2 linked regions of the Arabidopsis thaliana genome follow. The protein of the gene in region 1 interacts with the protein of each later gene in a pairwise test. Each region holds a gene or a part of one and is shown on either strand. Other genes may lie near its edges.

Evidence for each region.
Region 2: the proteins of WRKY75 (region 1) and AT1G35560 interact in binary tests that used the Arabidopsis thaliana proteins (3 or more experiments, as listed by UniProt).

What each region holds. Positions count from the first base shown.
Region 1 is NC_003076.8:4,149,203-4,153,036, forward strand, and holds WRKY75 (WRKY DNA-binding protein 75), read right to left. Parts: upstream 2,000-3,834; 5' UTR 1,818-1,999; coding exon 1,558-1,817; intron 904-1,557; coding exon 726-903; 3' UTR 536-725; downstream 1-535. UniProt on the Arabidopsis thaliana protein: Transcription factor. Interacts specifically with the W box (5'-(T)TGAC[CT]-3'), a frequently occurring elicitor-responsive cis-acting element.
Region 2 is NC_003070.9:13,115,322-13,119,239, forward strand, and holds AT1G35560 (TCP family transcription factor), read right to left. Parts: upstream 1,915-3,918; 5' UTR 1,804-1,914; coding exon 778-1,803; 3' UTR 505-777; downstream 1-504.

The sequences.
Region 1 (3,834 bases):
ACTCCTGTTTTGTGTTAGCAACTGAAAGTTGAATTGTGAAGCTTTTATCCAAATTTTTGAATCCAAATCCAAACGGTTTGCATCTTGATATTGATAATAAAGATTTCAGGCTCAATTACATACATTTACACGAAGATGGTTGGTTACATGCAAAAAAGACACTGGATTACTCAAGAACTGATGCGACGGTGCTGAAGAACAATGACTCTCTTGTCACTGTTTCAAGAGCATCATTGCTGATAGCAGAATTAACTAGCAAAATGGGTTTATTTTGTTACTGATTTAATTTTAAGAATTGTAAAGTCATTTTCTCCGTTGATATTTTTTACTTTCTTGTCACTTACCTAGCTAACTTTCAGATTCCCATACCTCATGTAGTTTTCTTACAACTTTCGGTGGGTAGTTAGAGACTATGACATATCTTATTAACGCCTAACCATTAGTATTACTATTTATCAGATAACCGTAATAATATGTTTAGCAACAGTTGTTTGAAATTTAATATGTGCATTATATGCTGCTATCAGTAATAGACTACACTCAATTTTTGAAATTTTTATTAAAAATTATTAGGATACAAACTTCAGCTGATCATCAGATCATGCATGGTTTTTCTTTTCAACACACGTAAAATGTAACATTCTAATTTTTGTAAATAATTTACAACATGAGCTCTAAGAATTATAGGCTCTAAAATAAGGTATAAAAGATTTTGAGAGAATTAACTAGAAAGAAGAGTAGATTTGCATTTGAGTGAGAATATGCTCGAAGTTTTCGGTGGATTTCTCGATGGGATGCGAATGCACTCCTTCGTAGGTTGTCACGACCACTTCTTGGTCCACTGTTAATCTTTGCACTTGCTTCTTCACATTGCATCCTCCATATGTACACCTATAGTAACTCCTGCACATTTATATATATAAACCATTAGTTATATTTCAAAACACTTCACTTCTCTATATGCAAATAACTGTTTTTGAATCTCTTAGAAGAGTAATTAACTGTCACATATATGTTCCCGAATCCAAATTATAAGAAGAAAAATGTCTACCAAAAGACTTTCATTTTTAATCGCTGATTGTTAGCTACATAGACTAGAAAAAAAAAAAATCAATATCCATATCCATATCCCAATCAATTAGTAAAGATCAATCTAGAATAAAATGTGAATAGGATATACATATATTCATCGAGTCTTTTAGAAGAGTAATTAATCATCAAATTTCTTCACAAAAGCACATTTCTATGATTTGTTGACCAAAAGTGTATTTATATTAAATATTGATTAATTATTAGATAGAGAAACAAATAGATCATGTATCTCGGCTAGCTATAGAAGATGAAAACGATAAATTAATCAAAACACATATTGCAGAATAGTTAAGATCAATCTAGGGCCGATGTGAATGATACATATACACATTAATTGGAGATTGATTCGAATTGGCTAAAGCATATATATGCATGTCTAACTCTTAACTCTTTCTTTATATGTTCGATAAAATATATAGCAATTGTAAGCAATGAATAAATAAGAAGGGAGAATTGAAGAAGAACCTAGGGAACTTGTTGTTCTTGACGGCCTTTTGGCCATATTTCCTCCATCGATAACCATCATCAAGAATATCCACTTGGCTCCTTGTTTGAAACGCATACCTTTGTTTCTTCCCCTTCTTTTTCGACGACTCCACGCTTTTCGAACAACCTTCTGATCTAACCTTTGAGCTCTCTTCTTCGCCTTGATGCAGCTCTGGTTTCGAATGAGATTTCAACGACAAAAAAGGAGCATACAACGACCCATTATCATATCCCTCCATATTCCTAATTATTTGTGGAATCTTGATTATAACAACGAGACAGACCGATCCACCTGAATTCCAAAAGAAGAAGAATTTTGTTCCTCTCTTTTTGTTTGATAATTGATTGGAGTTTGTTAAGATATCTTTGTGAAAACATAATAAAGTTTAGTCTAAAATATATAGACATATTTATGGTAGACTATGAAGTCAAAGACGAAGAGGCGGCCCTCTGCTAATCGTTAAAGAGGGGTAGTGTCGTAGACGACACGTAAGGATTAAACATTTTACATAATTACATTTGTAAGATAATGTTTTATGTACCCCTAATCTTATTTCTTAAAAGATATAGGCAATTTTCTCAAGATAGTTTACTGAGTTTTCACGAGTAATAATCAATTAAATGTATATATATATGGATAAGGATCAGATCTACACAAGAATGTATGCTATTGAGAGTGCTTTGAAACTGCGCATTAATAAAGATTTTGTAATAGATATTGCAAATTAGGAAGGAAAGACTTATTGGTGATCTGACGTAAGAATCAATTACTCACTCTGCTTTTCGCGATTCATTGAAGTAGAATAACCAAAAAAACGATGCATGCACCGACGTAGAACACAGAATTTTGGATTGTGGAAGATTATTACGAACGGACGAATGATCTCTCCAATGACGTCGTGTACGTGTTACGTTTTTCTTTTATCCGAACGTCATATGAGGTTTACGTTTTTTTTTTTGTCGAACGTCATCATTTTATCCGTGCATATAATAAATGCATACTTCTTTGAATTGATCAATCAAAGTCTTCAATGTTTGAATCCACACATATAAAATTGTTAGATTGGCTCTTAAACACACTACAAGTCGTTTTCGATATTTGTATATACAAATACGAGTTTATCCTTGGACCATCTAATTTATTGACTATTTACACACGTGGAAAAAAGAGAAGTAGTTTGAATCTGTTCTTCGTTCCATTGCTTTCTAAAACAAAGAATAAAGATGTTGATGTCGTTGTGGTGAGATACGGTTATAACTTAATATAATACCGATTCCATGATGAATAAATACAGTTTTTGATGGTTTTATTGAATAAATACCAAGATATAACTAATGACGTATATCGACACAATTGACAGAGAGATCATAAACATGATCACCACAGACGCAAACGATTCCGCAACTTTTTTGGCCAAAGATTCAAAACAATAGGCCCTTACTCAGTAAAGCTAAACTCTTTTAATTTTTATAATGATAACAACATTCATAGCAAAAAAAAAAAAGCTTAGGACGAGTATATTGCTACTTTTTTCTTCTTCATTGGCTTAATGAGAAGTAAAGTACTTTTCATGGTTTGTTTTCGGACGTCAGTGTATATTCATTCGTATGTAGTTGAGGAATTTTGGTCAAACTTTAAGTCCTTGTAGAAGGTAAACAAAGAGGCGCAAACGTGTTTGATGATTATTCTTCCGAGGTTTGAAGTTGAAACCATTTACCAATTATTAATCAATTTCAATTAGGAAAACAAAAGTAGCTCACCATTTACTGTTGTTAGTCCATGTTTGATTGACCATTCAAAAGCACAAAGTAAAAAGAAAAGGTTGGACAATTATCAAAGAGATCAAATGTTTGAATATTATATAACCCCTAAGAAAATTCTTGGAAGACGCACGTGTTCTTTTGCAATCTCACTTTTTTTCTTTCACATCTCGCAGCCTCTATATCTTTTTGGAAAAGAACATTAATGAAAAAAGTACTCAAGGGATGGGTGCTAAAAAAAAAGGGTTGGGTGCTTTGTAAGATTTGGGCCTGTTATGTGGGCCAATATTTGTTGTTAGGCTCAACAAGCCTTTGGCAGTTAAGTACAAGTTTATTTCTTGTTTTGGGTTGAGAATCAGAGTTTTTGGTGAGTGATTTAAGAACTAAGTCAAGGTTTGTGACAATTGACAAAGTAAGAACAGATTTGATTGGTAAAACAGGTAGCTTTGGGCCCAACAACAACAAGAAACTGATTAAAGTTTTGTTCAAGCCTTG
Region 2 (3,918 bases), on another chromosome or scaffold:
ATCCCAATAAACCATCTATTATATACACTTCCGAAATCAAATCCAATATTTTTTTTAAACTATATCAACTAACTTGAAAATATCAATTATCAAAATATATATCCGGGCTAACCCCTAGTCACATTAAAAACGGCATTTCGCCTGATTACCCGTCCAGCCTATTTTTCAAACACATTGGAATTTACTGTGGCATAGGAGTTCTCTCTGACGTGTCCATGTTGCTCCACAAGTGGACAATTTTTTGGTAGATACTACAAAAGTATGATAGACAAAATACGAATTTTAAAAGAGAATTAATATATAAATCTAAAAACCCATTTGTATCCAAACATGTGGTGCTCATGCACCCAATAAAGTTTATCACTACAGTCTACACCATATAATTTTTTATTTATATTCGTTAGCTTTTTACGAACTGCAATCAATTCGAAATATTTGAAATATATGAGCGGTCAAAGAAGGTGTATTCAATTATACCCTTCAACAAAAGAGAAAAGGCATTCTGATAAATATTTAATTTATTCTTTTGTCCATTATGTTACACATAGAGATTCAACTATATTTCCTTTAAGTGACATGCTTTTGCATCGAATAAAAAGAGTTGCAAAACTCGTTAATTATTATGCAACCAAAACAATAAATCCATTTTCTTAAATAACAATTTGGCAATCCCGAAAAGCCAACCCTAAAACCCATATTAACATTGGAGTCCTCAACAAAAGTTGCAATAAATCACACATTCACACTTTTTAAAAACCAAAGAAATCATGAAGTCTTTCAAGGAGAACCATCTATAGTAGGATTTTGGTCTCTAGTAGCATGATCACTCACTTGATGTTGAGGCTTTTGCTCAAGACTCATTCCGAGACCAACCCGACCACCGTCTCCTCCTCCGCCGGAAAATAGCCCCAAATTGTTATTTTCTGCAACACCTAACCCTAACTGTTGACCTCCCACTAACATAGACCCTAGCTGAACCGACCCGATTCGACCCGGGTAATGACCCGGATTAAACGCCCACATGTGCTGTGATGGATCCTGAACGTTAGCCGGACCTCCTCCTCCTCCGACTGGTAACATCCAAAAAGCACTACCTCCGTTTGTGGAGGCTGGCGTTGGCGCTAGTGCCCACATCGGCGGTATCATATTTTGTGTTCTTGACCGGGTCGAACCCGGATCTTGATCAGGAGCTTCGGATCCCGGTTTAGGTGATCTTGAACCGGGTTCTTGATCTAGAAAATTAGGATCTTTAAAAAGATCTTCTTCACGGAATGTTTTGGGAAGAGAAGAAGAAGAAGAATCTGTCGTGATATGATGAGGATGATAAAGCTGTTGCTGGAACCCAAAAACGGCAGCGTTTTGAGCCGCTCTTCCCATGTGGAAAGATTTAGACAGTGGAGCTGAAAGAGTAGAGCCACTGCTTCGAAGAGAGATGTTCAAAGTAGAGATATTCGCCGGTATGGTTCCAGTTCCGGTGGCTGCGATGATAGCTGGCTCCGCTTGTTGGAGCAGCCACTCTATAGTCTCGCCGTCCGATTTGTGTTGTAACTCACGTGTTAGTTGGAAGACACGTGCTGCGCAGATAGCCGGCATACGTATCCTCCGGCCACGTCCGTCTACTTTGATGTGACGGTCCTTGGACGGTCGTTTTGCGGGTGTTTTAGCGGCGGTGACGGTGGTGGTAGTGGAGTTTGGAGCAGTGGTGGTTAATGAGACTGAACCGGAGATTGGTCCCATGGATGGGACCAGATGGGCCGAACCAGTGGTGTTGTTGTTGCTCTGGTTGTTGTTGTGGGACTCCATATTGCTTATAAAATTTATAAATTATGGGGAAAAAAACACACAAGAAAATGGAATAAACAAACAAACAAACTTGTACTGAATTTTTACTTATAACCTATAAATTCTTGGAGTATTTTTTTTTTCTGGTGGGGCTATGAGTTTGTGTTGACTGTTGTTTACTTGTTTGGAGAAAGAGAGAGTGAGAGGAAGAAGATGAAGCAGCTTGTAGAAAAGAGAGAGAGACTTTCACTTTCTTTTTCTTTTGTGTTTTATTTTCATTTGTAGTCCCACTAGGTTTTTGTAGTAGAGAGTAGAGACCAATATTTGCTGTTTCCACACCAAATGATCACTTAACCTTTTTTTGTTTGGTTATTATCACACTTACTATATTGTAGTATAAAAATAATTATGCGCCGAATGTATTGAATTTTGGTCTAACTTTGTGAGACTAAAACTATTTTTAGCAATGGACTATGAAAAGTTTGGAAGTGTTTTACATGATTGAAAAAGGTGTGGATTGTCTAAGATTATAATTTTGGGGCATTTTTGTTGCAATCTTTAGATTGTAGGGATCTATTTGTTGGTTTCCTTATAAAGTTTGGCTTTTAGGTTGGATTTTGCATGGGTGGGAAACGTTGAATGTTCTATGGGGGAAAAGAAAAAAACTAATCACTAATCATAGAGCCAATTTACACCCAATATAATAGTGTTTTAATATTATTTATTTTTTTAATAATTTACTGATAATAACACAAATGTCTCTTTCTTTGATTCTCTATTTTGTCTTTGTTATCCGAATTTGATGAAAGACTTGTTGAGAGATAAGGACCACTGTTTTTATTAACGATGATACTAATAATTGAAGACTATATATAAAGGCTTCAATTCTTTTCCCATCTGCCAAATTAGCACCCACAGACATAGGTTATATATAACTAATCATCTCAACTACAATTTTTCTCAACGAAACCTATACATCTCATTCTAGATGTGAAAACTGTCTAAGAATAGTCCAATTTCAGCCTACTATGTTATATGCACATGTATCAGGGTGTTAACAAAGTATTCGAAATCAAAAAGTTTTAAGGAAAATAATTATGCAAGCGTAGTAAATCAATTAGTTTATTGATATTCACGTTGCTCTTAGTGATTAACCATGTATGTATAATCATATTAGTATTAATGCCTATTAACTGATTTATTGCAATATTTTAATTCATAATTGAATATTTAGACTGTATTATTGTTTCATTTTTTATATCAATTAAATTCCTTTATTAGGTTTTATGTTTTTATCAATCCAAAACCATATAATATATTATATTGCTAGCTATACCATTCGGAATCTTAATTTGGACACGAGCTTGAGCTTTTTGGCTGTTCTTAATGTAAGTTACATGTACGCACCGTGAGCTAAATTATAGATAACAATGAAAGTGAAACCAAACCACTATAAAAAAAACTTTATATTTGAACAGTATATTTTATATAATTTATATATATATATATATATATATATGCAATTATATTTTGAACTGTATATATAATCTCTCTTATTTTTTATTTTCCTGAAAAATAATTGTTGAGACAGATGCACGTGTAAGCATTAGCAGTGAAAGAAAACAGTAAAACAGTCAGAGATAGTTGAAGAAGTACAAGAAGCGAGTGATAAAAAAACGTGATGTTTGGTCTGAAACTCTGGATCCTCCCACGGTCCATTGTCTTGTCTCTGTTCTCTCCAAAAAGTGAAAATGTTCATTTACAAGACCATATAGTATGTAGCCTTGTTCAAGATTCTGTTAGAGCACCTTCATTGGATGGAGACTCATTGAGTATCTAAGAAATAAACTATTAATATTTTTTTATATACATTTATTTTTAAATAAATTATTTTAATTGCTTAAAAAAGTATAAAAGTATCAACCAATTAATGTTTTAAATGTGTAGGCAAGACGTTAAAAATAAAATAAAATGGTGAGAGAGTGAAAGTGTTAATCACTCTTCGACCATATATATCTCTAAAATGGTGCTTTTAAATTGTTTTAGAATCATCTACTGCCTAAAAAGCCCATGCTTTACAGGTTTTAGCTTTGGGTTGGTCTTGTGTGTAGGTATGATCTCATGAGTTCTCATCCA